Coturnix japonica: one gene and its partners. The protein of the gene in region 1 interacts with the protein of each later gene in a biochemical or structural test. Links are inferred from orthologs where the notes say so. Each region holds a gene or a part of one and is shown in the gene's direction. Other genes may lie near its edges.

Region 1 (10,216 bases):
CTTATGGCTCTGTCCAAGGATGAGCAAATTGGGGAGAAGGTGAGTCTGTCGCTAATACACCCTTCTTTTCCTGCTGAGAGCCAGCCATCATCTGGCAGTTGGATCAGAAGGAGATATGAGGTGTCATCTAAGCTGAACACTGGGTGCTCTTCTGACTCTCCTTTCCTTGCCCTTCTGGAGATCAAATTTTCTGTTTCTCCCCTTCGTCTGATGCTCCACCTAGCTGCAGGGCTGAAAGATGGGTGAGATGTGAGGATACTGCTTCTATTTGATCATTAGTTTATTTTGCTGTATTCTGAAAGCAAACAGCAAGGAAGGGTTCCAGTGCTTGCAGAACTGATTCTATTGAGGAGATGTTATTACCTAGCTAAGCTGTGCTGGAGATCTTAGTCTGTCTCTGCATGCTGAAACCTGAATACAGTACTCTGAAAAAGGCTTCTGGACTGGTGCATGTTCAACCTCACTTGACTTGAGTTTAAACTCTCCAGTGTGGAGACTTCACTCTGTTGCCTTGGCTGCACAGTTTTTAATAATGACTGTGTTGTTTCTGGTGGGTAGAGTAGCTCCATTTTAAGTCAGGACTGTTTTAAAATCAGTAGTGTCCAGCATCAGGCTATTATCAGAATACGCATGAGATAATAAGCCTATTGTTCATTGTATTTGATCATGATTCACATGTAACACAGCCGATTCAACGACTGTCATGTGCAGTAAGTAGGTCACAAACTGAATCAAGGTCTCACACTTTGCAACAGGTGATAACAACCACTATGGTGTGCAGCTGGAGTCTGGAGGCAGTGGCTGCTGCTTCCAGCACTAATCTTTACATTCTCCTGTGATCAACTTTTTGATCTGGGTTGATAATTGCCTTTGGAGAATCCTCCTCAGCAGGGACAATAAGACTCTTTGGAGACAGCTCTATAGTAGTGGCAACCATAGATGAATCCAGGCTGGTTTTCTTGCTACTTTCTGCCCAGGATGGGAAATGTTACTCACTAGATAACTCTGCTTTTCCTTTCAGATTTTTGCCAGCATTGCCCCATCTATTTATGGGCATGAAGATATCAAGAGGGGTTTGGCTTTAGCTCTGTTTGGCGGAGAGCCCAAAAACCCAGGTGAGTGTAGCATGTTGCAGAGGACTGATCCAATGGATCTGGGTTTGTCAGTGCTGTTGCAGTGAGTGGATAGAGTTGTCTGTGTTTCTTGGTGACAATGAACTGACTGAGGGAAATCTCTGATTGAAGTGGCTGTTCTATCGCACTGAAAACTGGTGTGAGAGTAGAAAAGCAAGGACTGAAAGCAGCTCCTGCTGCAAGCCTAGGCGTGATTTTATTTCCCTTCCTCTAGAAAGTCGGATTTGATGCCCCTTTAAAGGTTTGATCTGTTGGTGTCCTGATTTGTTACCATTTTAAAAGAATGCATTCAGCAGGGTTAGAAATGCTTTTTTTATGCTCAGTTTAAAATGCTGCAGTGGAAAGGAAAAAGCTCTGCTTTATTCCCACTGCTTATGTGCTGCTATATTTGATCCTTCAGTACTTTTGGTTCTCCTTGGTGTTCTAAACCGTAACAAAATCTGACAACAGTTATGTCTGATTTCCCTCAACTTTCCTGTAAAGCAGTTTCTCTGCATATTCTGCCTTCCCTTCAGCTTTGTGTGGTATTCAGGGTAGGGCTGCTATCAAGCCTTGTGTAGATGACTGAGCTACTTGTGTGTCTCCTGTTACTGTTGTAGGTGGCAAACATAAAGTCCGTGGGGACATCAACGTGCTTCTGTGTGGAGACCCTGGTACTGCAAAGTCACAGTTTCTTAAGTACATAGAGAAGGTGTCTAGCAGGGCCATCTTCACCACTGGCCAGGGTGCTTCAGCTGTGGGTCTCACAGCTTATGTCCAGAGGCACCCAGTCAGCAAAGAGTGGACTTTGGAAGCAGGAGCCCTCGTGCTGGCTGACAGAGGCATCTGCCTGATTGATGAATTTGACAAGGTGAGTCCCAGCTGCATCTCTCTGGGAAAGCAGAGCTGTGGAGGGGCTGGCCATAATCTCTGTGATGAGGACTTGTGATAACTTGGGGTTCTATCTGCCAGCAGACTGGGCTTCCTGCAGTTTGTTTAGGCCCTTGCTGGTCTGCATAGTACAGTTTGCTATCTCTTCAGAGTGTAAAGCTAATGCAAGCTAATTCCCCTTGGTGCACTGGGCAACACTGACTTGAAGTGACTCATTGCTTTCTTGTAGATGAACGACCAGGACAGGACCAGCATACACGAAGCCATGGAACAGCAAAGTATTTCCATCTCCAAAGCAGGCATTGTTACATCCTTACAGGCTCGCTGCACTGTAATTGCTGCTGCCAATCCCATAGGTAAGTGCTGAGAGCCACAGGAGTACTCACGTCTCCATATCAGTCCTGCTGTCTCAAGCACTATGGTGCAGCTTCCCTTTCTTCCAGTCTGGAACACAAATCAAGCAAGCAGTAAAGGCTGTCTGTGAAGTAGATCGATGTTTACCTCAAAGCTTCAGCCCTGAAGCCTCTGGTTGATGTTCAGGTTTGTCTCTGCTCCAGGTGGTCGATACGATCCATCATTGACTTTCTCAGAGAACGTAGACCTGACAGAGCCCATCATCTCTCGATTCGATATTCTGTGTGTGGTTAGAGACACGGTGGACCCTGTGCAGGTAAAATCATGCTGTGAATGTGCCTGTGCTGGGCTGTTAGGATGCTCAGCTAGTTTTGCTGTCTAGTGGGTGTCTTCACTTCTTTTACTACGCTGTTCTTTTGTAGGATGAAATGCTTGCCCGGTTTGTTGTTGGCAGCCATGTCAAGCACCACCCAGGTAGCAAGGAGGCAGTGAATGGAGATGCCAGTGAGGTTATTCTTCCCAATACATATGGGGTGGAACCCATTCCCCAGGAGATCCTGAGGAAATACATCGTCTATGCCAAAGAGAAGGTCCACCCCAAACTCAACCAGATGGACCAGGACAAGGTGGCTCGGATGTACAGTGACCTCAGGAAAGAGTCCATGGTAAGAATACTGAGGAAAAAGGGGGAATAAGTGTGTATCCAGACTGCAAGTCAGCCTGTGACTGCTCCAGCGTATGTTGACATGTTCTAGCTATTCATTTCACAAGAGTCTGTGCCACTTCTTTTTGTGAGAGACGGGCAGATTCTACAGTATCAGGCTGAACAGATGATTCTTCAGTTAGATGCAGGGTCTTGCTTGTAGATGATACATAGTGTGATGGACTGGATGCATATACTAGGGTCTGCCAGAGCAGAGCCTTTTCGTTGTGACCCAGTCTGGCAGGCCCACAGGAGATGTTTGCATTCACTCAGATCCATGTGCTTTTGCTGTTACAAGGAGCTGTTCTCTGTAGAAACATCCTCTTTTATCTGGGATTTATAAGGCTCATTTCACCCTCCCCAGTGTGGAATTTTTTGAGGTCAGACTTCATGAGCATGGGAAATTTTTTAATTGAGGATTGCTGCTCCTGGAAAGCCACTAAATGCTGATAAAGAGGGACCCTGTGTAGCATTCCCTCTTGTTCTACCAAATTAAAATGTAAATATTGGAATCTGTACCACACTGTGCAAGATATGCCAGCAGATGGCAGAGCCTACTTAGCTTTACACAGTCCTTAGGGATCCAAGCACCATCTCCTGCAGTGCAAAGGAGGTCCTGACCCAGAAACCACCATTCTTACCCTGTGTCTTCTGTCCTTCACTAAGGAGTTTCTCCCTCCTCTCCCTCCTTAGGCAACTGGCAGCATCCCCATCACAGTGCGGCACATTGAGTCCATGATTCGGATGGCTGAGGCTCATGCCCGTATGCACTTGAGAGATTATGTGGTGGAGGATGATGTCAACATGGCCATCCGGGTGATGCTGGAGAGTTTCATTGACACGCAGAAGTTCAGTGTCATGCGGAGCATGCGCAAGGTGGGTACAACCCTCTGGGTTGAGCTGCAGCCCTTTTGTTTGCCCTGGCTGATGGAAGAGGATTCTGTGTGCTCTGTAGGAGTCTGTCCTACACAGACAGGTGTTATGCCTGTGCAAATAGAGAACTGTGAGTCTGAAGGTACTGCTGCCTTTCTCTGGTCTGTAGCAGGGCATGTAAGGGTTCTCCTAGCAGTGTTGTTCTGTCAGGGCTGAGATAACAGTGAGAATAGATGTGTCCCAAGCCTCTGTATCCAAAACACTGCTGTGTTCCTTGTTTTGCCACTTTTTCTCCTGTTTTGGCCCAGCACTTCCACTGCTGTCACAGCCAGTGGCTGTTTCTCTGCAGTTTTTCTAGAACTTCTCAGGGGATGGATAATCCCAGCGCAGCTCACACTGTGGTTCAGTGAGAGGCTGCCCTTTGAGTGGCAGGGCCTGGCTCTGAACAGCTCTTGGCCAGCCGTAGCCTGGCATCTATCCACAGAGTGCCTGCCCTCAGTCTGGGCGACTCGTGGCCTCTCTTCAGCTGCTAATTGCCAGCCTGACATGAGAGTCTGCAGGGCACAGGGCAGTCTGGGTTAAGGGATACTGCCCTACCCTTCCCCAAGGGCAGCAAACCTCCGTAGTGGTGGTACCCTATCAGCCCCTGGGAGGCTTCATGGCTGCTGCTGAGATCTCTTCAGAGATTTTGTATGGGTGTCAGCAGCTAGCAGAAATGTCTTGTATAATACAGAGCTGTGTTGTTACTGCATGTGCAGGTGGCAGCTTGGCAAGGCTGAAATCCCTTAGGAGACTCTAAGTGCAGGTGACAGTGGTGTCATTTGATTCCCCTTGTGCTCTGTAGGAGAAGGGATGGTTGATTTTGGGTATGGGAGACCCGCAGTGCGGCATTGGGTTCCTGATCCTCATGGTTTGTCTCATCCTCCTTTCCAGACATTCTCCCGCTACCTTTCCTTCAAGCGAGACAACAATGAGCTGCTGTTGTTCATCCTGAAGCAGCTGGTTGCAGAGCAGGTGATGTACCAGAGAAACCGCTATGGGGCCCAGCAGGACACCATAGAAGTCCTAGAGAAGGATCTGGTGGATAAGGTATGAGCTTATTCTAGTAAGCCTTCTGTAGGCTTGGTTCCTGCTTTGTGTTAGCAGCCTCAAACTGAGGTGTTCTCATGGCATATATCTTCCCAAGTCCATATACCAGATAAACCCAGTGTTACACAATTCAACCCAAAACAAGGACTGTTTCATTTGTCTCTACTCCTGTCTTGCCCAGGAGTACCATATTCTTCCTTCTCAGTCTTCATGCACCCCCATAAAGCTTCGAGGCTGAAGTGTTAAATCCTGACCACACCCTGTCAGAGATACTACATGACTGCCTCTCACTGGGTGAGCTCTGGGATAAGAGCTAGGTTTAAATAGGTATGCTTTTCCTCCAGTGGAAGTAAAAGGACAGACTGAGAGCAGGCAGATGCTGAGCCAGCATCCTCTCTTCACTCAGCTGAGCTCTGCCAATGCTCTATTCTCCTGACCTGCAGTCTCCCCTGGTACTGCAGTTCTGGTTCCTGCTGAGCAGAGATTGCTGACTGACAAATTTTGCTTGCCCTCTGCTGTGGAAAACCACATGGTGCTTATTTTTCTGAATAAGCATTTACCTCTCTCCCTGCTCTGTCCTCTTCCCAGGCTCGGCAGATCAACATCCACAACCTCTCTGCCTTCTATGACAGCGAGGTGTTCAAGATGAACAGGTTCAGCCGTGATGTGAAGCGGAAGCTGATCGTCCAGCAATTCTGAGGCTGGCAGCAGAGCCCACCATGTGCAAAATGAAACCTTTGTGCTTCTGCCCACCTGGCTGTGCTACAGAGCTCACAATCCAGAGGGACTAAGCTACATGTTCTCTCGCTTGCTTTGTGCCTTATGGATTAAGGAACTGCTGAGCTGCTGAAGATATTGTAAATAGAATAGAATTAAGTAGTTAAATGCCCAGCCAACTCTGTTTAGCAGTTTTACTCACTGTTCTGCTTTATAGCTGAGACCAACAGGGAGAGAATTGCTGGCCACGTAGATGGTATGTTTGCTGTTTATTTATCCCTAGTTGTTAAGACCTCATCTGCTGGAGGGATGAGTGGGAGCATTTGAAAGGCATTTGCCTGCCTTATCCATGCCCTATGGTTGCAAGCACCTTCAGGGATTCTTTTTTCCCATCTCTGGTGACTGCAGCCCTCTGAGTGATAATTGAAACTGCTTTCAGCTCCCTGTGAACAAGCCAGCTGCTCAGCTCCAGGCCTTTGCACCTGACACTTCACATTTCCCCAGGTGCCCACATGGGCTGACCTGCTTGGTTTCTGCATGTGAAAGGGAAGGGGCAGAGGAAGATGAGAAATGAAATAAAGCTTTTATAATAAAAACATTTATAATAATAGGGGTGGCATGAATGGGCAGTGGAAGTGTCTTCCAAACATGCAGGGGCAGTATCCAGAAGCATCAGGGAAAGGGTTTCCCCTGACTCAGTTGGTGATAGCTCAGCACAGCTGTCAGCTGATGTGAATCTACAGCTCTATCTGAGTGCTGGCACCTGAACTGAGCAGCACCTCGTATCCTTTTATTCAGATTTTATCTAGATATTTTGAAGAGTAGCAGTAGAGAAGCCGTGAGTTGGAGAAATTAAGGGGAGGGTAAGATGTGGTGATAATTCATATGCAATTTTCTTACTCTGTGCATTTTAATACAATTTGTTTTCCAATACTTTTGTGTTTCCTTTCTCCTTTTCTTTTAAAGTCCTTCAGTTATAGTGTGGAGGTAGAGCATAGCTACGCAACCTGAAGCTGCACCAGCTGCTCAGCAGTTTGCTGGTGGGTTATGGCCTGGGTACATACATCCTGTGGTCTCCAAGTTGGTGGGCATTGCTCATGCAAACAGAGGGAGATGAGTCCTGCCTGTAGTGGTTTCAGCTATTGCATCTCCTCCTTGGGGGTAGATACCAAGACATGACCGTGCACAGCACAGCCACATAAGCTGCCATTCCCTCCCAGCTCTAACCTGGAGTTTTGATCCCACTGTGGGACTCTGTCCCTTAAATGCTGCTGTCACCTCAAGACTGTTCTAGAACAGCACTTATCTGCCACCTTGGCTGGCACTTGGGGATACCAGTCTAGGAGAAACAGTCAAACTTCTCCAGGGTTTACTGAAGTGAATGTGCTTTTTCTGGTTGGATGTGGGGACTGTACAGCATCTCCAGCCTCCTCCTGCCTGTGCTCAGGAGAATTTGTAAGCTGGCTGCTGCAATTTGGTGTTGGCTGAGCAGACACGTCCCTAGCTGCCAGCATTGTGGAGTTTTGTCATGGTGATGTGTGTGTGTGTGTCCCCTCTCAGCCTGGTTGTTGTTCAGGAGCTTGAACCCTGCTGGGGGCCTAGCACATGACTCTCATCTGAAACTGGCTCAGTGTGTTGCCTTTTCTGTCTGCCAGCTCCCTCCTGTGTATTTGTTTAACTGTTTTGGCTGGCTTTTTCCCTTCCCACTGGGTCTCCGTCTACCAGGGCTTTCTGCAGGCAGCCTTCAGAGTCACTTTCCTGGCATGCCCTCCTTGCCTGATCTTGCCCTTTGCTCTCTGAATGTGAGCTTGTGTCAGATCTGTGGTGGGGATAGCAGTGCAGCTGTGAGCCTGGAGACATGGAGTAAGGAAAGCCAGAGTGGCTCCTGAGCCCTGGGCACAGCTATATTAGCACCTCATCTAATGCCAGGGGCCAGGCACAGGGGCAGTCCCTGGGGAGAGCAACTTCACTCACTGCCTCATCTTGAATCTTCACTACAAAGATAGATATGCCTTTCTACCTTGTGTTGCCAGCATCCAGCAGAGCAATGAATTTTTGCAGCTGTGCCCTTGCTAATGTTGACATGAGCCGCTCAGTGGAGTGTTAATGCCAGTCTGAAGGCATGTTCCTCCTCTCACGGCCACTGAGCTTTCCAGGTTCCCTGGAGCAAACTTGGGCTGTTGACAGCATCAGGTGTCTGGTCTGGATGGGGGTGCAGACGGGTGAAAATAGATGCTGCTTTAAGCAGGGGCTGCCTTGCCAGGGGGCATGTTCCAGCTGAGTGTAGCAAGGATTTTCCTGCAGGGCTCTGGAGATATCTAGCCAAGCCACACATGAAACGAGTTGCTCCCCAGACAACCCTGAGTGTAGTCAATCTTGAGCACTTCTTGCTGCTGAGATTTGGATGCTGCACGCTGCCTCTGACCACCTGTGGCAAAAGCAATGTTCTGGGGAGGTGAGGTTGGTCCACAGCAGTTTGTGTCTGGGCACAGATGGAAAGGTGATGGGCTTGCTGTCCGCAAAGCAGGCGGAGCTCTGTGATGCCAGGCAGCATCCCTTTTAATCAGATAGGATTGGAAGAACATCTTGATTCGAAAAGGGCACAATGGGTCAGATCCTGATCCAGTTTAATTTGAACATGCTGTGTTCATGCTCCTGAGGGAACAGCATGGCTCTGCATCTCATAAAAAACTGTTAGTCCTCAGCCCAGTGTGGAGCATTCTGCCTAGATGGAGTATAAGCCTGATCCTTGTGGGTCCCCTGGGACTCAGGATGTTCTGTGATATATACAAATACATACGCTGTATCTGCAGGTGCCTTCAGATAGCCAGCTAATTTGTTAGGGTATGCAAGATGGAAAAAAGGGGAGTTAGAAATCCTTCCTCCTTCTTGCAAGCCCTTTCCTTCTTACTGAAAAGGTTTAGAATCTTGGGAGCTTCTGCCTTTACTGCTACATTTGCAGGTCCTGAGTTGTATCCCATGTACTAGCATCTGTTTGTGAGTCTGCTTGTCAAATGGCAGATGCCCTCCAAGAACAGGAAATTTTACTTCCATTACATTGTATTTTTTTTTCCCCAAATCAATGCCAAAGCCACTTGGAAAGAATAGCACGTACATCATTTCTAGACCAGCATTATTTCAATTTCTCTTATAGCAGACATTGGCTGGAACTTTATCTGTCCATCTCCTGTGTGCTCACTGAAGAGCTGGCTAGAAGCTGGTTATCAAGAACTTTCACAGCACAGCAGAGCTCAAGATAAAGTGGCAATACTGGATAGTGTTACCTTGTCCTAGAGCAGACCAACCAGCTGCAGTTGAGCCAGGAGATTCATTTCTTGTGCTTATGGCTCTGTCTTTGTTCACCACAGCTGATCTGGTCAGGTGAATTCCAGCGTGCAATTGCAGAGCTATTAATACAGTATGGGAATACGTATAAGAAAGTTCTATATCTACAGTTGCAGGCAAGTAGACTGCTACCTCTTGTGCTATGCTGCATGGGGAATGCGCTCCATACTTCCTAGTGTTTTTCCATCCCCTGAGATACTACACCACTTAACAATGTAGAACCAAAATTGGATCAGACTTCTGCTGTATTTTGTATCTATTATGCAGTTCATGCTGCCGTGACTGATTTAATGTCTCCATTATCATGGAGCACTGGTCTGCCAATGACTCCAGCCATCCAGCACAGTCCTCAGCCATAACTAAATGTCTTCAGGGAGCCTCAAGGGGCTGCTGAGCACTGCATCTTTAGAGCAAAGGCTCCTTGGAAGCAGGCTGTGCTGCTTTCCGCTCATCTCACAAGGCACTCCCCTCTAAAGGAAAGGAGAAGTGGGTTATGGGGGAAACCTAGAGAAGCTGCCAGCTTCTCTTCTGGGTTGTTTGGTGCTCAGGGAGACTTGAAAATAACAGTTCTGCATAAAAGATGTAGAAGATCTTCAGTCTCATCAAACCATGCAGAAACACAGCTGTAGGAGTGCCAGCAGTCCCCATAAGACAGTGCATGTTTATTCCCGGGGTCAACAAATACTAGCCTTCTTCAGATGCAGGTTGCTCCCTCTGCCCTGCAGTTGATTACATCCCAGCTTAGCCAACTGCTATGGAACTGCTATGGACTTTCTCTCAAAGAAACACTGAGCTTTCCAGTTTAGCAAGGAAAAGCATAACCTATGAAGTATAACCTCTGAACTACTCAGGGCTTCTTCCAGAGAAGACACTTTGTTCACTGAGGGTCCAGCACTCCCTCTAAATGCTATCTCAGGTTCCTGTACAAGGAAGAAAAGCCAGTGGGATCTGGGCATCGAGAGTGCTAGTAGGCCTTCATTACCCTGAATAGCATCATCTGGGTTCATCACCCACACCCATGGCCCAAGTGCTCTATTTAAGCTCCATCTGGGAGTAGAAATATTACTGTTCATCTCTGCTGGGCTTTAGCCTGTTTATACTTTTATTCCTGTAAAAAATCTCGAGCAAATCT
Region 2 (10,216 bases), on another chromosome or scaffold:
TGTAGAATAAAAGGGGAAGATAACAGTGCTGCATTTCTCAATTTGAAACATTTTAATAGTGGATAGGCCAGAGAGTCTAAATAACTCAGTTCAAATCCAGTCCTTTGTAGTTCATTTTGGCTATGATCTACCCTTACCTTTCCTGTCCACTTAGGGAACAGAAATTCCTGCAGAGAAATCTGCTTGGTAGGCGTAGTCATGAAACTGTGGTACTTCTCTTTCCTGACTGTCAAAATATGATGTTATCAAAGTCAGTTCAGAAATGAAACATGGGGAATTTGCTAGACTCAAGAAACTTGGCCTGCAGACAGAAAGCACTTTGGACCTTCTATACATTTTTAATAACGATCTCACACTTTTTAGTTAATCTAACAAGAAGTAAATTCTTGTCAACACTCAGAAATAGTGAATCTTAGTTTGCTCTGGATTAATAAAAAGCCATACTGTGCACACCCAAGAAACTAATGCATTTTTTACCATTGGTTAATTAGTCTTAACTTGAAAGTTCCCTATGAAAACACGTGTTGTCATTGAATAAAACTGAAAATATTGTGACTGAAATATGCAGTAAATACTCCTTCTACACATTATAACAAGATCAGTAATATAATAGGTAATTATAATAAGGTTATTTCATATGAAGTAATAATTATATGTTAGGTAATTGTAAGATATTTCAGACATAAAAACTGAATAGGGCAGATTTACATATCTCACAAAAGTATATTGTAAAAATAGTAGATATTGTTATAATTAGAATTTATTTCTCAATATGGATATTCTGAACATATTTGTCTCTTACTACAAGGTGTCAGCAAGTTGCTCCCAGAGCAGGAACACCTGGATTCAGAGCACCAGAAGTACTGACAAAGTGCCCCACTCAGACAACAGGTACAACATAGCAGACAAAAACTAAATGCCTTTCTTTTTCTTAAACCTGTCACTTACGCATTGACTTTATCTTTTGTATACCAGGCTGTTACACATGAAATTCATTTTCTTATCCCTTCTAACATTTATGAACCATTTCCCAAATTTAATTTGAAGTTAATTACTCCGAATAAGAAGGATCGAGGAATATTTTCCCATGTTTGAAATTTGAATGTCTGTATCCCTTTGAGGGGTACTGCCATACGCAGGAGTTCAATAGCACGTGTTTTAAAAGAAAACAAAGTTGTAAGTTTTATCAAGTTTCTTGGCTCACTGGCTTATTTATTCAAGAAAAATCTTAAATAAATCTTAGAGGGGTATGCTTTCTAGACAGTTTGACACGTGTATTTTGCTGTCTTGGGCATAACTAATTGTATCAGTGCAGTTTTTTATGTTTTTTATGATGTGTGTCAGTTAATTGGGACTTTTCACTGGATTTTTTTTTTTCCTTTTTGCTAATGCTTTAAATAGATGATCTGTAAATGTCATGATTTTTTCTTACTAAGATTTTTAGTTTCTCAGGGCTAAAACCTACATGTTTCAGTAGCCTGGTAAATATTGGAGAAGAACTAAGGGATGATTAATGCCGTAGGTGATGCAAGTAGGCTGGGAGAAGCTGTGCATACATGAAGAATTAGAGGGCTGATACAAAGTTCAATGTGTCACGTATGACCAGAAGTTTTGATTATGAAAATGAAGGATAAATACAAATGTTCTCAGAATTTGTATTTAAAATAAGTTTATAGCCATCTTTTTGCTTAGCACTTTGTGAGCATATAGTCAATTTACAGCATTTGAAAGTTCTCATACACACTCAGAGCAGCCTTACAATACGTTTGATCAGCATATCAATTGATAGCTTAATGCTATTTGAGGCAGGATCTGTGTTGTGGGCATGGCTGGGATTTCAAGAGGTATGGCAGCCTACTTGGAGTCACCGTGCCTGTGCAGTAACAGCCAGCTTTATGAGCTAGAAAACATCCAGAAATCCAGGATAAGTTTAGACAATCCCTGAATCCGTCTAGACAGAATTTATGCAGAAAGAAGACATACTTAAGAAATCTTGGACAGAGGGTTGTCTTAAGTGTGCTTTCAGACAGTTCTCTGTTCTCTAGGGTAATGGAGGGCAGGACTACAGAAAATATGGGTAGATCTGGAAACCCTTGGGTGTGGCCCTAAAGGTACTGAGTCAGTGGTGCAAAGCTTCTGTAATACGTCAACAAAGTGCTTCATTAGAACCGGGTAGAGTAATACTAATAGAGATAATGCTGTACTTGAGCTAACAAATCTCCTTACCCAATAACATCTGGGACTGCTGTAGTCACCTCCTTGTACTCCTGCCAATCTTGCTACTAGTTTTGGTCTTTGTGCCAGGACCAAGTTATCAGCTGGATCCAGCTGGCTGTCCAGAGCTACCTTAAGTAACTGAGCCATGTTTAAAGCACAGAGAACACAACCCAAACCTACAACTTGGCCCTAAGCAGATCCAGTTACAATTTTTAACTTGATTTGTTCCTTAGTTTCCCGTTAAGATGGCATCCCTCTCTAGCTGGATACTAACCACTAGGCAAATGCACAGAGAGGAATCGTGATTTTGATGTCATTGCACAAGACCTCTCAGTCTGCTGAAGATGCCAGCCCTATCAGAACTGGAGGACATGCTTGTCATTTCAGTATCTAATTGTCTGACAATATCAGGAAGAGCTAGATAAACATCTCTAAAAGCCTTCACCTTAATGACTGTCTTTCCCAACCACATACTAAGGGTGATGCGTAACACCATAAGCAGGTGGTGTGGTCAACATCAATACAGTACTACTAAAACTTTTTCAATAAAAATAAGACGCAACATTTTTGCACACTGAATTGTTATACCCACAAATAATTTGGATTTTGATTTTTATAAGACTTAAAAACCTGTTTGTTTGTAGATCAACTTAGTATTTTCAGAGCTCTTTGCCGATAGTGTTTCTAGCTAAAATGTCAGACTCAATTACTGCACATTTTACTGCCTATTTCTGGAAGATGTGCAGGATGACTATAGCTTTATTTCCCAAGTTAATTTCTCTCTTTGGAATTAGAGAGTCCTTCAAACTCTCTCCTTCACTTTCCTTGCCATCTCTCAAAATGTGCAACTTCACAGAAAAAATTACAGCAGCCAGGTATTCCCATAACTTTCGGTATTAAAGTTTCCATCATGCTTTGGCTTCTACCATCAGAGAACTCCCTGTACTCTTCATAACACAATGAAAGTGATGAATAACTGTTACAGCTCTTAAACAATCTCATCAAGTGGTTTCATATTAGAGAGCAACCAAGTTTGTAGTAAAACAAACCTTTTAGTACGCCTAACTGGCAACCTCAGTCCAAAAGAGGTAAGATTTACATTCAATCCTGAATTACTTTTTATTCATGAACTTTTATATAAAGTTTTCTCAGTCTAAGCAAACTTAATGTAGTATCAAAACTAGCTATTTTTCCCCTCTCAGCTCCCTGGTCAGAATAACTTCAAACATTGTTTCAGTGCATTTTTTTAAAGCAAATTAATGAAATTACTCATGTGAGAAATCCTATAGACAATTCTATAGGCTCTGTAGAAAAGCAGTCATCTGATTCTATTTGCAAGTATATCCATTTACACTGTTTGCTGAAGTGTTATCATTGTGACCGCAGCCTGTAAGTAATTCAGAACATTACCTTCTCTGATAACTACACTTCCGGTTGTAATTTAAAGAATTCGGGATTTTGCTTTTGATGAAATTTTACTTGTTTTACTCAGTTACTTGTTACTAAGCTTGCTTTCTATTGCAGCAATTGACATGTGGTCTGCAGGAATTGTATTCCTTTCTCTGCTCAGTGGACGGTATCCATTTTACAAAGCAAGCGATGATTTAACTGCTTTGGCACAAATCATGACAGTTCGTGGATCTCGAGAAACCATTCAGGCTGCTAAAACTTTTGGTATGCAAACCTTAATTATGGGGAGAAGGGGAAAAATGTATGCCTGGTCTGCTGTTTAATGCAATGATTTACAATCTAGTTGTGACTTGCGTTTATTTTAAACAAAATTTTAACTTTGGGAGTCACTTTAGAGTTAAGTCACCCTTCTTGCATGCAAACTAACACTACTTATCTATATGTACGGAGGTTTAGGAAAGCTTTCTAATTTTCTGTCTTTTATAATTTTTTACATGGAGTAATTCATTCTGTGGATTTCTTAACTTTGCTGCCTTTCAGAGAGTCAGGGCCACTTGAGGTGAAATATGCCAGCTAAAACTTTCCTACTTCTTAGAATTCTTGAAGTAATGTTTATTCCTGCAAAATTTGCCACAGAGCCTTAAGTTGCATTGACTTAATATTTACATGATGCAAACTTTGCATTTTTGTCCAACTTCACGACGGGCAAGCACAAAAACATAAACAACCATTTTCCTCATTGCCTGCAAGCCAAACATTAAAGCACTTGGTACCTGGAAGTATAAATGACAGCATCGATTTTAATTCTCCAGACGGAGGTGTATAAATCAATAACATAAGCAATAAACTGAACTGGGTTTTTAATTTGCAGTTCTGTTAAGATGAGAGTGAAATGGAAAATGATGCTGTGTGACGATTTGTCAACTCATAACTTCATGAAAAAGCACAGTTCTGTTCTGAGCAGAGCTACTGCTGGCTTTTGGGGGCCCTTACTGTAAAACATGGCCAGTTTGTTTGGTTTTTTTTTTAATTATTTTTGAACTAATGTTAGTTATGCTTCAATACGTGAAATTTCTCTGAAACAAACTTAAAAGTTGTAGTTGTAGAGCAAGCAAAATAAAACGTCACTGACTGTAAAACCTGTTTTTCTCCTAGGGAAATCAGTTCTGTGTACCCAGGTTGTCCCAGCACAAAACTTACGAACTCTCTGCGAGAAGCTGAGAGGAACAAATAGCAGCTGTAACAGATCCCACTGCGATGTGCCCTGCAAATCTGGAGACGACTCAGCTTTGCCAGTTGAAGTAGACAAACAATGTGCTCCTGAGATACTCAGAAAAGAAACTCAACACTTAAAGAGCTGTCAGGAAGATGACGGTGCTTCAGAAGATAAGGCAACAGACATGAAAGGATGGGATCAGGTTCCTGATGAAGCATATGACCTACTTGATAAGCTACTAGACTTAAACCCTGCAACAAGAATAACTGCAAAAGATGCTTTGCTGCATCCCTTTTTTAAAGACATGAGGCTATGAGAAGACGCCTTGTTCTGCTCTTGTACGTTTTATGTGAAAGTGAGATACTGAAGGAGTTTTAATCCATTGCCCTTAAACTCATTGAAGTACCATTACACTGTGCACAGCACTACTGAAATTGCCTCACAGGTGGACTGCAAGTGCAACTTCTTAAAGGAAGCTTACAGATGTCAATATTACATAAACATTACTAACGCAGTCAAATCCTAAGATGCTTTTGAGGTGTTGTTACAGTGCCTAAGAAAATTAACTGTGATTTAAAACTGTAGAGTTTCTCACACTAAGGTTAATTCTTTGATACTCTCTCAAAACAGAAATTTGCATTAAGGTATGACTGAAATGAAAAAGTGCTCGAGAGCCTTTTTTCCATAATTGCACACCCCCGCTTTGCTCCCAGTTAATACCTGGGAGACTGAAGTGCACTGATTTTGTTCAGGTGGTTTTTGGAGAACAGCTTTACTTTGGGATTGTTGCTGGAACAGGGGCAGATAGTGCCGGTTTTGTCATCAAAACAAAAACATCACTCTTTTAAAAGTTCTTTTTTTTTTTTAATCCTGTCTGTTCCTTCCTACTTAAGCAACAGTGATAAATGCAGTTAGTCATCTTGCATAGCCTGTATTTCTTCAATGCCACTGTTAGCTGTAAATACACAACAACTGTTGCCTTCAGAATGTCTTGTGTGACACGTATATGTTTGATTTCTGTTACGGAAACTGATTTTCGCAGAACATCTTTTAAATAAAGGGTTTGTTTTTATACCTTCAGAAGCGTGTCTGGAGATGATTCTATAAAAATAGTTAGGTAAGGTTTCCCTGTGGGATACTTCTGTTCAGGAAGAATTATGCAGCTTTCTTTTCTGCATAAATTCCTCAGTGATGTATGATGCTTTTCAGACAGCACTGGTATATATTGCTGTCACAGCGGAAGTATCTTAATTATCAAGGAAATCTTACTACCTCACCTTAGAAGCAAGCTAATGTCTGGTCATAAGTAGGAATCCCCCCCTTCCCAGTACCCTCTAGCCTCATGAATTCATTGCACAGTTAGTCATGTTATTCTCAGCATTTGCCTCTCTAGAAACCCACGATACTTTTGGAGACTGAAATTTAATACAGTGTTTTTCCAATTACATTTCTTGAAACGTTCGTGTGGTTGTTGCTATAAATGGTTACAGCCACTCCAGGAAAAGATCACTGCTCTGATAACTTTTATATAAGCCTTTGCAGAGAAGCTGGTTGTTACATCATGACCAATGCTGTGGCTGAAGGGCAATTATTTCAGTACATTCAAAATCTCCAATACATACAAAGTGATGGTAATATTGCCCTGTCCCTGCCATCAGCTGATAGAGAAAAATATTTGTAGATGTCCGAGTACTGATGGTGGGTGTCAGAAAGAAACCCACAACACTCTGGGGCCCAGGTCTTAATAACTTATGCTGTTTAATTTCAACCCAGCATGTCACTGAGAAATTATTTATCTAGAGCAACCATAGCCAAATTTGGCAAGTGATGCTGTCTGCCAGTGTCTGCAGATGTATTGTTTCCTCCTACGTTCACTCATGCCGCCTGTGCTCTTATGAGAGCACTAGCTGACGGAAAAAAGTGCCAGCTATCTATTGTGAGCTAAATCACTTCGGCTTTGTCAGCCCTCCTGCTCACCACTGCACTGAGCAGCTCCTTGCAGCAGGCACTGCATCATTAACCGCCACTTAAGTTTACTAATCAAAGCAGGTATATCACTGCTGATGGTGCTTTTACTGTTATTGGGGGTAAATAAAATTCTGAAAGTAACACTTCTAAGCTTAGATTATTTGGTAACAAGCTAGAAGAAAGCATTGCTATTCTTCCTCCCGATAGCTATTTATTTAAAACATGAGACGTTCCCTGGGAGAGGGATAAAGCGAAAAAAAAAATGCTTGATAAGATACATGACTACTAAGTGCTGATTCTGGAACACTATGAAAGCATAAAAACTAGAGGTAAAATGTTAAATGCAATGGGTTCTGAACAGGGAGACCTGAAGGGAGAAAATAACTAAGCACTGAAGGCACTTAAGAGAATGACAGCATTTAAAATGAAATTCATGTCTTCTATGGCTTCATATATTCTTATTCCACAACAAAACAATATTGTATCTGTTGGTAGGCTCATAGCAAAGACTGTTTCCTGAGACATTACTCAATATTTATCTATCAAAGTTGCAGTGGGTCCCTTTTCAAATTATTTATTTTCTTTTCAAACTCTTATCACCTAAAATTAATTTTACTACTCACTGGAGTAGTAAACACAGTTTTCCTCCAACACATCCTTATCTAGCTATGAAAGTCGTCTCAAACTTGCTTTCAAAACTCTCCAAGGATCTATTCTGCCCTCTGATATCCAACCCATTTCCATGAGCTGCCTTAGCTCCTCACAGGGCTCCTTTCATTTCCAAAAGGGTATCTTAGTGTAGGAAGGTGAGACACTCAGACTGGGGTGGCTTTGTTCCTCTAGCACTTTTTGTTATGGATTTCATTGAGATAATTGATCACGGACAATTCATGCAGTGCAGATTAGTCTTGTGTGAAGCTTACAGCTAAGCAGTTTTCACCTGCTGGGATTCCCTGTGTGTGTATTTTGGCTTATGTTTTCCATTGCTGGTCTGCTTGCAACTGGCTCTGTAATCTGAGCCACATTTACCATGAGTAAAGTAACATGTAGTTTAAATTTATAGGTATTTCCCCCAGTTGTTCTTGTAAAAAAAAACCCACAGTGTACTGAATATTCACTGACAGCCCATTCTCAGAGAGGAAAGGATCAAGTTCCCTGCTGATCACTACTCTTTTCCTTTGTTAAAATCAACTATTTGATTAATTTGATGTGTTGTAACTTCAATATGGTTAATCTTCAAACAGCCAGAAGAATAAGAGCTGCAAAAAGCTTGGCAAATTATTTTGGGGATGGATGAAATCGTACTGGACTAACACAGCTCCAGAACTGCATTCTCTGGCCTTCTTTCAGGCCATATAAAATAAAACATTCCTGTGAAGATTCATTTCATAGAGCACACAACAGTCACTCCTCCTAGGCAACTTAGACCCTAATGAATTTGGTAGGAAGGACATCACTTCCCTCTCCTGAACCACATACCTTCTGTGATCGTATTGCTTCTAGGACTCTGTACTGGCTTTAGACATGCTTCACTCTGCCTGTGGCCTGCCTATAGAACATAGGGTAAAAAAAACAACACTACCAAAACAATTACTCTTCAAGTATTGACTGTCCATAAATGTGGTTTGTGAAATGGTAATGTTTGGTTATATAATGTATTAATTATTCAAAAGGAGTAGCTATACCACTTACAAATCACAGAGGGGAGCTTCCAGTCTGGCTCTGCCGTGGCCATGCAGGGCTGAGGGCAGAGTGCAGGGAAATGCTGGGTCCCCCACTACACCCCACCCTCCTGGCCCAGGGAGCAGCCATGTGGAGCAGCAGCCCTCCCTTTCTCTTCCCACTAATCATTTGCAGTTTACCAAACTGACAAACAGAGGGTAATAAATAGCTCTTAAAGATATGCAGCTTATTTATCAGGAGGAGCAGAGCTGACTGCAACAGTACAGGATTTTTTGCTTATCAAAACAGGCAAAGAACTGAAAGATGGATGCTAACAGATACTGCAATAAATTCAAACTCCCATCAAACAAACCTCAGCAGCCATTAACGTCCCCAGCTCCAAGGGAGTGAGATCTTCCTGCTGGCCTGTGCTCCCACACTAGGGTGACTGTTCCCTTGATCCACACCACGTAGCCAACTCCTGCTGGTAAATGACAAGGAAGACAGTGTGATCCAGGCCTGATTTCTATTGGTTCAGGAGGAAGTCTTTATAACAGCAGTAAAAATGGTTGCTTTTTCCTTCCCCTTTCCTTTGACTTCTACGTGGTCCTCCCTGAAAATGCATTTATTAAATCCGTAATATGCAATTAAATACCCCAGACCTAAACACAAGATCTTTAAGTCAAATCTTTAACAACTCCTAAGATCGTCATCAACTCTTTGCAAACTTGCTGTGGCAATCAGAGAATTAGGAGAGCTCACTGATTCAGGTGGAGCAATTTCCTGTCAGTGGTTTGCTGATTTCCTATCAGTGTCACAACAAGAATGTGATTTCCTCCACAGATTTTCAGGTGCTGCTATTCCTCAAAGAGGACTGAAAGATTTGCTTTGCCCCTGCTATCACAACAGCTAGGTCAAGTGAGTTTTTAAGTCAGATATTTGTTATAGAATGATATATAAAATATGCATACATGAACTAATCCAGCTAACGATCAGTATGAGTACAGGAAGAATCCAAGTAGGTAACAAGCAGAAAGTAGACAAAAGCAGCATCTAAATGAAACTGAGATAAAGTTCAGTATAAGAGGAAGAGCTGTTTGTTTCCATAGCTTAGAGCGGTAGGAAGGAACAAGCCTACTGCAGGTTCTCATAGACAGAGTCCCCCCCAGGTAACTGAAGGAATACTGATCAGCCTATGCACCTGCACATTACTGAATGCACTAAAGCATCTGACAGTGAACTAACAGCAGTGATGCTGTCTGCTATCTCCCTACAATGGTCTAACATACACCCAGAAGTCCTGAGGTCCCAGCCCTGGCTGTCCAGACCAGGAACTCACGAACAAGCTGAAGATCTCTTTGAGGCTGGGGCACCCAAAGTTCCCTGCTCTGAAAATGTGTATGAAAGGAAAGAAACAGAGCACAAGTTTTGGGACCGCATGCCTACATCTCAGCCCTTTATGGGGAGGCAGGCTAGGGAAAAGAATCTCTGTCTTGGTTGAAAAGTGCTTCCTAAGCATAACCTTGTGAAGTAAAACACTCAGAAAAACAAAAACATCCCCCTCCATTAGAAGCCCATGCCAAAGAAGTGTAAGCACATGTCTTAAGTTAAACAGATGTTTAGGTTTTTGTCTGAGTGGGGCCTGTGCTGACTCTGCAGTACGCTGCAGATTTGTGGGTCCAGCCAGCAACAGCGCCGTCCCCTAACACTGCTGGTACCTCTGCTCTGCTGATACGTGCTCCT
Region 3 (9,703 bases), on another chromosome or scaffold:
TTGATTTTAAGACCATCACCTCAATGACATCAGTTGTTTTTGCAGCGTATAAATAAGTGCTGCTTTAGGAAACAGGACTGTATTTATTTCCTGACGAGCTTGATTTCTACCAAATTTACCACAACTCCGGTAAATAAGTCATGATTGTCATAGGGAGACCCTCATGAGTTAAAATCAAGTACTGAGATAAAATGTGAAATATAATATTCACAGGAATTCTGTTTTCCCTTTTTTTTTTTTTTTTTTTTTTTCAACAGGGAAAACAAGTTCCTGCACAAAAGTCCAAAAGTAAGTACTTCAGTATTTGTAGAGGTTTTGCTGAACTTTCTGAATGCTTATAAATGGATCAAATATAAAACTGTCTTCTAACTTGTAGGTCTAAGGAAGTGTCTTGAAAATTGTGTTTGTCAAAGCACGTACATAATGAGTTCTAAAATAATGCCTATCTGTTCAACAACTAGTAAACTCGCTAAACAAAAATATTTCTCTTTTAATTTCCTTTTTTTCCTACCTTGAGCAGGTAGACTGAAAAATCCATTTGTGAAGGTGGAAGATAGAAGTCGGTGAGTGTTCTGTGTGCTTTCAATGTAGTTCTCAAACTGAGAGATTCAGGAAAGTAGTATGGCTTGATGGTCTACTGACTTTAAGGGCAAGACATACTGTTCAGTCTCTGTGTGGTCTGGGTAGGTATCCATGTTTAGCCTGTGAATGAAGTGAAAGAGGTGTTAGTATGATGGGAAATGTTTGTGATGGGTAGTAGCAATGAAAAGTTAATGTATAGCAATTTATAGATCAGGAGAGGGGGATTGGTCTGCATTATTTTCTTCTTAGAGCCAGATGAATTAAAAGGAGGAAGGCTGGAAACTTTAAACCTGACATCTTGCCTGTTTTTAGATCCAATTCATGTAGCCAAAAAGGCTAATAAAGGTTTCTATATTAAATAGTAGTTCTAACTCTTAGTGTTCGTCTTGAGAGACTTTAAAAGAAGTCATTATGCCTTAAAACATTCCTTGGAATTATGCTGAATTTATGCTTCAGTGATTTATTACTTAAAAATACAACAACAACACAACTGCTAATATGATTTCATTATCTGTTGGATCATAAGATCTGATACTTTCAGACTTGACAATTTTTGCATTTTTCTGAGCTTGTAACCGATTGGATCTGATGTTGTAACTCCTCAATAAGTAAAGAGGTTGCCAGAAGCTGGGAGTAAAAATGAACTATAGCAACATGAGTGGGAATTTTGAATCTAGTATTATACTGTGTGCTGGTAAGAATTGGTGTGATGGGTATGAGAGCAGTGGGGAGAGTGGGACAAGTGCATTTTCAAGCACAAAATGTAGAGACGTGTGAATTTTAATTTCATATTGGATTCTGAAGATTGTAGCAAGTGATTTAATTATATGAATTTTGTCATTACCTTTTTCAGACACTTCTAATACATGCGAGTGCTGGTGTACTTGCTAGTTTTATTATCTCTCTATGTATGTTTCTGTGCAGGAAAAAACTGCTTCCTTGGGAATTTATTGTTCAGTTTTTAAAATGTTTTTAATGATGAATTGGAAGCCTTTCAAAAAGGGAGAAACTGATAAAATGAAAAAAATAAAATAAAATTTTGAGGTAGGAACTGCTGTATCTCAGGAACATGGATCTACTTTCATCCAAATTGCTGTTAATTGTATTGGTTGTGCAGATCTCCACAACCTACTGCATTAAAGACAGCCATAGTTGTGGAATGTGCTTGACAGCTCTGAAAACTCAAGGCAAACTTTTTATTTTGAGGAGGTATCGAGGAAGGAAGAAAGAAATTACTTTTCCTAGGTTATTTATCTGCATAGCATTTTTTTGTACATTACATGTGAAAGAGAAGCTTGTTTTCAAAGACCTTTTGACCTATTTATAGTTTGTAGTATAAACTACTGTTTGGTTGTTTTGATGCTTCTAATGCACCTGTTTTGTCTTAACACAGCTCCTACAGACCCTTCTATCTGCAGTTACCGAGTTTTCCAGCTCTCAACTTCTGTGTTCCAAAACCTTGTAGTCCGTTTGAGGTGGATAAGAAGCATCCTTCCAGTCAAAAACAGAATCAGTCTAAGCAAAGGTTTGTCTGTCATGCATTTTTGCACTGTATACAGTGGAGAGAGAAGTTCTCTAAAACAATTGTAAAACAATTATTTTCTAAAAATTCTTCTGCCTCTTATTTCTGTGATATTTAATACTAATTTCTACATCTGGACTGTTGCATTTGCTACACTGTGACTGTTTCTGTCCATCTGTACCCTCTTTATCCTGCCTTTAGTTCTTTTTTGGGGCACACAAATGCATACATCCAAAAATGCAGCATTTTCCTATCATTGTGGGTCAGCATAAAAGATTTTTTTTTCCTTTCTGTCACTGTTTTTTTTCTTTGTCCACATCTTGGATGCCATCCAGTAAGTATTTTATAAGAAGTGTATTTCTTAAGATTTCCTGTGATGTTTGTCAGTAAAAAGCTAAAAGGAAAGCACTTAAAAATTGTTAAAAGTGATATTCAGTTATATTGCAAAATCATTGCTGTTAAGGAGCGTATCTTCCTTACATGCACAATTAAATTTATGGAAATGAGAACATTGCAAATGTTGCTTCATTGCTTCAGAGATGAAAACCAGATACTAGTTGCAGTTAGTTTGTCATTCAGTAAGTGTTTATGTGATATGGTTTGACATTCAGGCTCTGAGTGCTGCGGTTGCAGTTAAGACATTTGATAAATCAATTTTATGATTTGAAACAACTTTCAAATATGATTTTTCTTTTATTGGGGGAATCTGGTGTCCTTGATTTCTTTTTTCTTGCATATATGGAGACTACAAATGTCTGTTTGACTTCAATAACTGATTCATAGCAGAGGCTAAAACATTTAGGTGAAAAGCAGCTTTGATTTACATGAAAATTTCTGTGTCTGGTAACTTTAGCTGCTGTTCTGACCTTTGAATCTAAAACTTATTTAGGTGTGATACTTGTTTTCTCTATAAATTGTTCCTGTGTTGTCCAGATTTTGTCCAGTCTAAACTATTATTAGACTCTTGGAAGTTTTCAGGTGATGTTACAGTGATAAATGAATGTAGCAACGTACTAGTGCAGTAACCTTTGCACTAAGCAGTGTGTTTCTGATGGTGTCTCTTCAAAGGGGCCTTAGGACAGCCTGTTCTCTTTAAACGCTTTTTAAAATGAAGAGTACAATAGTCATTTCATATGTATAGATTAAGAAATACAGTGCGTTAGTTCTGTTTCAGGAATTGTGTTCAAATTAATATTTGTCATTAATCTTTCAATCTGTCACATGCCAGAGATGTTTAGGTGGGGTTTTATTTATTTCATAGCCAGCAGCTAAAAGTGATGACTGTCATTGTTTCTAAAGAAAGAAAAAGTGAGAATGATTGCTTGTTTTATCTTTATCTGAAATAGTGGTATGTGGAAGATGATGTCAGTTTTACTTGCTTTATACGCAGAAAGATTGCAATCATTCACGTTTCAGATAATAAATTCTGTCTCTTTTCTCTTGTTGTTTGCAAGCCTTAAGTGGTTCTAAGTAGGTTTTTACATTCCTAAGGGTAGAAGCAAAAAAGCTAGTGCAGTATTAAAAGTGGACTCTGGAATCTGAACAAATGCTTGGTTGGTCTTTATATAAACATCTATGCAGATACTTGGTGGAGTCTGGCAATACGATTTTTGACTAGACAGGGAGGTGGCACTGTTCTCTTGAAGTAAAATGAAATTAGGAACTGATGATTTTGCTGTGCTGGAGGGTAGCTTGGTAGTGAATTGCAACAAATGGTAGCTCTGCCCAGATAAGGACACTGAAGGTCATGGGACAGATATTGAAAGCTTCTTTGTGGTTTAATTTTCTGGAAGAACTTATGGTTCATTTCCTTGAATTTCATGAACATCATGATGATTTTTGATCAACATGAACTTTTGAACATCAACATGTTCAAAAGCTGCATATAACCAACAAATAGGAGTATTATTTACCTTTTATTGAAGAATGAAAGGTCATCTTTTATACCAAATACTTTATCAAAAATAACGACAGGAGATGAGATGCTAGAAGATGTTTTTCTTTTTTTTCCCCAGTTTTGATTTTATCAAACCTCCTTTTACCAGCTATACAAAGAAATTTCAACAAATCCTTTGATTTGACAAGTCAGATTTGTTTTATAAGTTCAGCATTGCTTAATCTGAGTCAGTGATATTATATCTGTACTAACCCGGATGTTTTATTCACGTGTGTAGTTCCAGTGGACATGCCTGTTTTGTTGCAGTAATTTGTTTATTATTTTTTTGAGTGCATTAATTTCTATTCTAATTTTCCTGAGCAGTAACTGAGGTGGTCTAAGTAGTCTGAGAAGAAATGAAGATGTTCTTTTGCTTTAAATGATAAGAGTGAAAAGGAATGTTTTGTAGGAGGCATTTATAGAACTCAGCTCTTACGTGTAGTGCTCATTAATTTATATCTTTTCTTTAGCAGAAACAAAATAAATAGTGACAAGGACTGTAGAACTCTTGTTCAGCTTCATCAGAAGGACAAAAAAAGGAGAGGATATTGTGAATGCTGTGGGAAGAAATATGAAGATCTACAAACTGTACGTGTGGAACATGAAATACACTGTTTTCAAACCGTCTTTAAAACAGTAGAATCAACAATTTCTATTTGCTGTTCTAATTTTTGTCTTATCTTATTATTTTATTTAATTCTAAAAGGCCTGTTGAGTGTATTTCCTAAAAAGCAGCAAGTAAAGGTTTTTTTTTTTCATTTTCTATTTCAGGTTTTGTTTTGCTGCCTCTGGGTATGGTGGCTGAAAGCATTAATGGTTCTTGTCTCAGAGACACTGATTTTAAGATCACCTGTTTAGTGGATGAAGAGAATGTGTTGAATGTGGTTTTTCTGGATATTAGCAAGACTGATTATACTGTTCTTCGTGGTATTTTTTGGGACAAATTTTCCAGTTATGAGGCAAATAAGTATGCAGTGCACTGGGTGAAGAACTGGCTTAAGGGGCTGTAGTGAATGTGACCGTATCTGTCTGGCAGGTGAGGTTCTGGTTGGCAGTTGGCTCAGCGTGTACCAGCGTTGTGCCCCAGCAGCAGAGAGAGCAAACTGCACTTTGGGGTGCATTAAACACAGCATAGCCAGATGGTTAAAAGAAGTGATTATTCTGATATATTTAATATTAATGTGGCCTCACCTGGATTATTTTGTGCTGTTCTAGGCTGCACAGTTCAAAAAGGTTACTAAGATCCCAGGAAGGGCAGCAAATCTGGTTAAAAGGGCTAGGTGCAATGAGGAAGATGCTAGGTTTGTGAAGCTGGGAGAAAAGGAGGTTAAGGAATGATCTTATTACTGTCTTTAACTTCCTGAACATGGGAGGTGGAGGGAAAGGTGCTCATCTTTTCTCTCTGGTATCTACTGACAGTGTGTGGAGCAGTGGCTCAAAGGTGTCATGGGGAGTATTCAGAGTTGAGATTAAGAAAATATATATTTCATTTTTTTACCAAAAGTGCAATTGGGCACCTGAACAGGCTTCCCAGGGGGGTGGTTGATGCCTCATGCCTATCTGTGTTTAAGTGGCATTTGAATAATGCTCTTAGTGATTTTTTCTGGCTTCAAGTTGGCCTTGATGTAGTCTGACAGCTGGACTCGGTGATCTTTGTGAATCCCTTTGAAATGGAACTATTCTATTCCAGCAACAATAAATTGTCAGTATTTACTTATTGCTCCATGTCAGAATATTGATTTATGTATTCATTTGTAACATTACTCTTATTACCTTTTAATTCCAGCATCTTGAAAGTGAACAGCACCAGAACTTTGCACGAAGCTCACAGTACCAAATTGTTGATGATATAATCTCCAAGTTCGTTAATGAGTTTGTTGAATACAGGGATGATGAGAAAAACATGAAAAGGTAAGTTGCACATTCTTAATTTTAAAACTGCTGTTAATTAAGACATTAAAGATACTTTAGTTACAAAATTCTGAACCTGGTATGGAGCAAATTCATAGTTTTCATTCTGATGAACATCACTGGAACTTGCAATGCAGTAGTTTCCGAAATTAGAAGGAAAAACTACTAGTGAGTATTGTATCACAGGAATATGGGGCTAAGGAGACTTTACAGGAGTTGTTCAACCTATTCGTAACTTTCAGAAAAGCAAGTTGTCAACCACTCTAAGATAAAGCTGACGGAAGGACAGCTGTGCCTGGATGTCTGCTCTAAAAACTTTCTGATGTTCTTAGTAGCCTGAGACGAACAAATAATAACCTCCTCAGTCAATCTGATCTCTTTAACATGTAGTCTAGGTTATTGTCTGCAATCTATAATGTTATCCTGGGGGAAAAAATATATAATTGAGCTAAGCTTGTGTGTATACACAGTAAAATATTTACAGGTATTTGTCATTGCTTTGCATTCATTAACTTTTGTACTTAGTAGCACTGTGACTGAAGCTTACTGAAATACTAGACTGCTTACCTTTGTGTATTTTTCAAACAGCTTCATGAGATGTAGAAATCAATAGTAAAACGTTGAATTCAAATACAAGGTACTCTGTTCCAGCAGAAGTAATATTTCTATCCTAACTTTCTTTTGAATGCAAAGAACAAAAATTGCTTCGTCAGTTTAGTTGCTTTTCTAGGTCTGTTTGCGTAATGAATTATGTTACTTTCTTCCAACCATTTGATTGTTAATCATCATAAACAATTTAATTGTAGGATAAAATGTAGTACAGGATATTTTTCTCCTATAATTGGGAAGATAACGAGACCAGATGAGCTGAAAGAACGACTCAAAAAGCAACGCGTTTCATTGAAAACCTACTTGTGGAAAGATACTGCAATGCAGGCACTCAGACTGGATCGTCAGCCTACAGAAGTACAACCAAATTCTGTGCTAGTGCCTCCCCCTATTTCTGCATCTCTGTGTTCAATTCTTTATTGTCATCTGTCTCAGCCTCCAGAAGAAAGAAGTAAATTCGGTAATAATGGTGAAAATACAAGAACTGATTGCTTCTGTGCCACAAACCCAGGACAGTCACCAAATTTCATACAACCACTTCCTCAGAAAGATGGTAAATCGTGTATGGAGAACTTCCATCAAGATTTTGAGCCATTCAGTAAAGAAACACTCGAAGCAGAAGTAAATAAAAAGTGTTTACAGCGTTTTCAGGAAGGTGCGTGTACTTTATATTCTCACACTCAAGTTACAGATTTTAGTGAAAAAGACAAAAACTCAGCACAGCCCAAACGAAAATTAAATCATGCAGTAGTTCTACCAGCAAAATGTTTGAAAAAAACAGATGCCAATCCTACGTGTGTCGAGAAACATCGTGATTTATGCGATAACCATCAACAGATGCAGCACAATGCAGTTGTGGAGGCTGAGGTATCCGAGTCTGCTATAAACAAAGAACTTAATGAATTGGCTGCCAACACTGCACACTGCTCACCATCTGGAAAGCTGCACAGGAAAGTAAAGCTTTGCTTAGGAAGAAATAGAAGAGAAAGCCGGAAACAGAATATAGAGTTATGCGTGAAGTACGCAGATGGACTGTCTGACCCCAGTGAGAAAAGGGCTTGTAGCTCACCAGTGCAGACCCTGCTGGAATTGTTTCAGACAAGTGAAATAAAATCTGAATTCAAAGGTTTTTCGGTTTACACTGATCATGAAGATTCTACTGGCACAGAAGATGTATGGGAAGGGTGGAACACAAATGTTGTTGGTTCATTATTTTCCTCTTCATCCTCATCCTCGTTCTTTGGATTTTAATGCTGCTTTATTTAATACAGTGTTTTTCAAATAAATTGTGGATTTAAGATTTTATTCTTGGAAATATTCTTGTTATGTACAGATGAATTCATTTTCAAGGGTTTTTTAATGCAAAAACTTCTATGTGTGTAAATATGAATAAAACTTACTAAGGGTTTTCTTTTTCTTAAAAGCTACTGCTTTACTACAGCTAGTAAAGGGTTCAGACCACTGGATTGTGGGTTTTATTAATTGCTTGGCAGAATCAGTAAGCGTTATATAGCTGCTTTTGGGTTGGGTATTTTTTGAGAGTCATTGGGCACACTGAACACAGTACATTCTAAATAACCACATTATAAATTATTGGGGGGTTTGCTGTAAATAAGACAGCCCATTACTTACGAACCCCTGATGATTTGTGGAGGTTTGTTTGCTTCTCATATTCCTTCTGCTACTACTTCACCAGGGAATGCAAAAAAAAACAACACGTGACTTGCTTTCTGAAGTTCTCTTCTGCTGATGTTGTTTGAGGTGGGGAGTTGATGCAGTCACAAAGATATAACATCAGAAGAGCGTATGCTGGGTTCTTCAGCTGCTCTGCTATCGTTTATTCTTAGATAAAACTAGTTATGTGTTGTAAAGGCAGCACTAGCAAACTCAAAACATCCTATAGGTTTCTGAACAGCTTGGGCCTCTGGTTTGTTTTTTTTTGCTTTCCACTTGGCCAGCCTGGCTGACTGGGCTGGTTGGAGGCACAATGAGGGACATGGTGGGAACTGGAAGAACTTCTTAATACTTTGAGTCTTCACCAGAGCTGATCTCTTTCAGGATTTCCATGTTTGTAAATCAGTGCAGGGCGTGAGTATTGAATTGGGATGGGGGTAGTTGTGAAACTTTGTTAATAAATGTAAGTGCCTTAAGGTTTTACAAGCTAGGAGCTAAACTAGCAGAAATTACTCTCATTATTTTTTGAATGAAAGTGTAAATACATGATTAATATACCCATTTAACACTGTCACTCTGTTAGTGTTCCTTACAATTAAGCTGTGTTCTGCAGTTGTTTAGAGTAGTTTGCCCTTTGGTATATGGTGTTTACAGTGAGGGGTAGGTGAAGATTCTTGGTGTGCAGGGAGGAATGAGATTGTGTGTAATTTCCCATATGTTTATCTTTCCAAGTGTTTTCCTTCCAAACTTAATAAGCATTAATACTCTTTGAAAGACCTAAACAGGGGCAGCAAGTTATTAGAATGTTTGTCTTTGACTTCCAATTCGGTAGAAAAACATGTATTTACAGGATGTATGGCAGGGATTCTGAGGTGTCAAACACTGCCACAAGGACAACTAAGTTGCTAAAGTAAAGGTTTAGCATTTAGAAATGCATTTTATCTGGACGTCAATCTTTGTAGTAAGTGCACATATAATGGCAGTTTGAATTCCTTCCTAATCGCTAAACAAATTTCTACTGATTTCATTTTTGGATCTGTTGTGCTATTGGTGTATCTGATCGGCTGCTGCAGGTAGCTTTTATATTATATTATATTATAAACACACAAAAGCGATTGTTAAGATTCTAATTTCTCCTCTTATTTTTGTTGTGGTGATTACAGAAACTCAGTCCCATGTTCCCATGCTGCCTGCAGTGAACACCTACATACAGAGAGCAGGAATACAAAATTCCTGCAAAGCACACATTTTTTTACTGTTGCAAAGGAGTGAAACCTTTAACATTTGGGTAGAATAGATGCTGCTTCATTTTAAAGTGATCGAAGTAAACCCCCTGAACTTTTGCATTAGATAAGCACTCTTGTTTAAGTGGTGTTCTTGAGGCCCAGTGACCTTCACTGTTCTGTCTTCATAGCGCTACTTTAGCGGAGATTCTTCAGATAATCTTTGATATGCTAAAATAGAAAGCA

The links. The genes of interacting proteins can lie anywhere in the genome.
Region 2: of the proteins of MCM2 (region 1) and CDC7, one has a biochemical effect on the other in vitro, tested with the Homo sapiens proteins (8 studies listed by BioGRID). The link is inferred for Coturnix japonica from reciprocal best matches to the Homo sapiens genes MCM2 and CDC7.
Region 3: of the proteins of MCM2 (region 1) and DBF4, one has a biochemical effect on the other in vitro, tested with the Homo sapiens proteins (3 studies listed by BioGRID). The link is inferred for Coturnix japonica from reciprocal best matches to the Homo sapiens genes MCM2 and DBF4.

The regions. Positions count from the first base shown.
Region 1 is NC_029527.1:7,356,122-7,366,337, reverse strand, and holds the end of MCM2 (DNA replication licensing factor MCM2), read left to right. Parts: coding exon 1-39; intron 40-1,021; coding exon 1,022-1,115; intron 1,116-1,732; coding exon 1,733-1,983; intron 1,984-2,232; coding exon 2,233-2,359; intron 2,360-2,560; coding exon 2,561-2,673; intron 2,674-2,779; coding exon 2,780-3,022; intron 3,023-3,753; coding exon 3,754-3,936; intron 3,937-4,866; coding exon 4,867-5,022; intron 5,023-5,610; coding exon 5,611-5,721; 3' UTR 5,722-6,672; downstream 6,673-10,216. UniProt on the Homo sapiens protein: Acts as a component of the MCM2-7 complex (MCM complex) which is the replicative helicase essential for 'once per cell cycle' DNA replication initiation and elongation in eukaryotic cells.
Region 2 is NC_029523.1:12,576,552-12,586,767, reverse strand, and holds the end of CDC7 (cell division cycle 7-related protein kinase), read left to right. Parts: intron 1-808; coding exon 809-891; intron 892-3,741; coding exon 3,742-3,891; intron 3,892-4,782; coding exon 4,783-5,159; 3' UTR 5,160-5,926; downstream 5,927-10,216. UniProt on the Homo sapiens protein: Kinase involved in initiation of DNA replication. Phosphorylates critical substrates that regulate the G1/S phase transition and initiation of DNA replication, such as MCM proteins and CLASPIN.
Region 3 is NC_029517.1:18,962,972-18,972,674, forward strand, and holds the end of DBF4 (protein DBF4 homolog A), read left to right. Parts: intron 1-257; coding exon 258-288; intron 289-517; coding exon 518-563; intron 564-1,975; coding exon 1,976-2,107; intron 2,108-4,510; coding exon 4,511-4,628; intron 4,629-5,826; coding exon 5,827-5,951; intron 5,952-6,757; coding exon 6,758-7,811; 3' UTR 7,812-7,970; downstream 7,971-9,703. UniProt on the Homo sapiens protein: Regulatory subunit for CDC7 which activates its kinase activity thereby playing a central role in DNA replication and cell proliferation. Required for progression of S phase.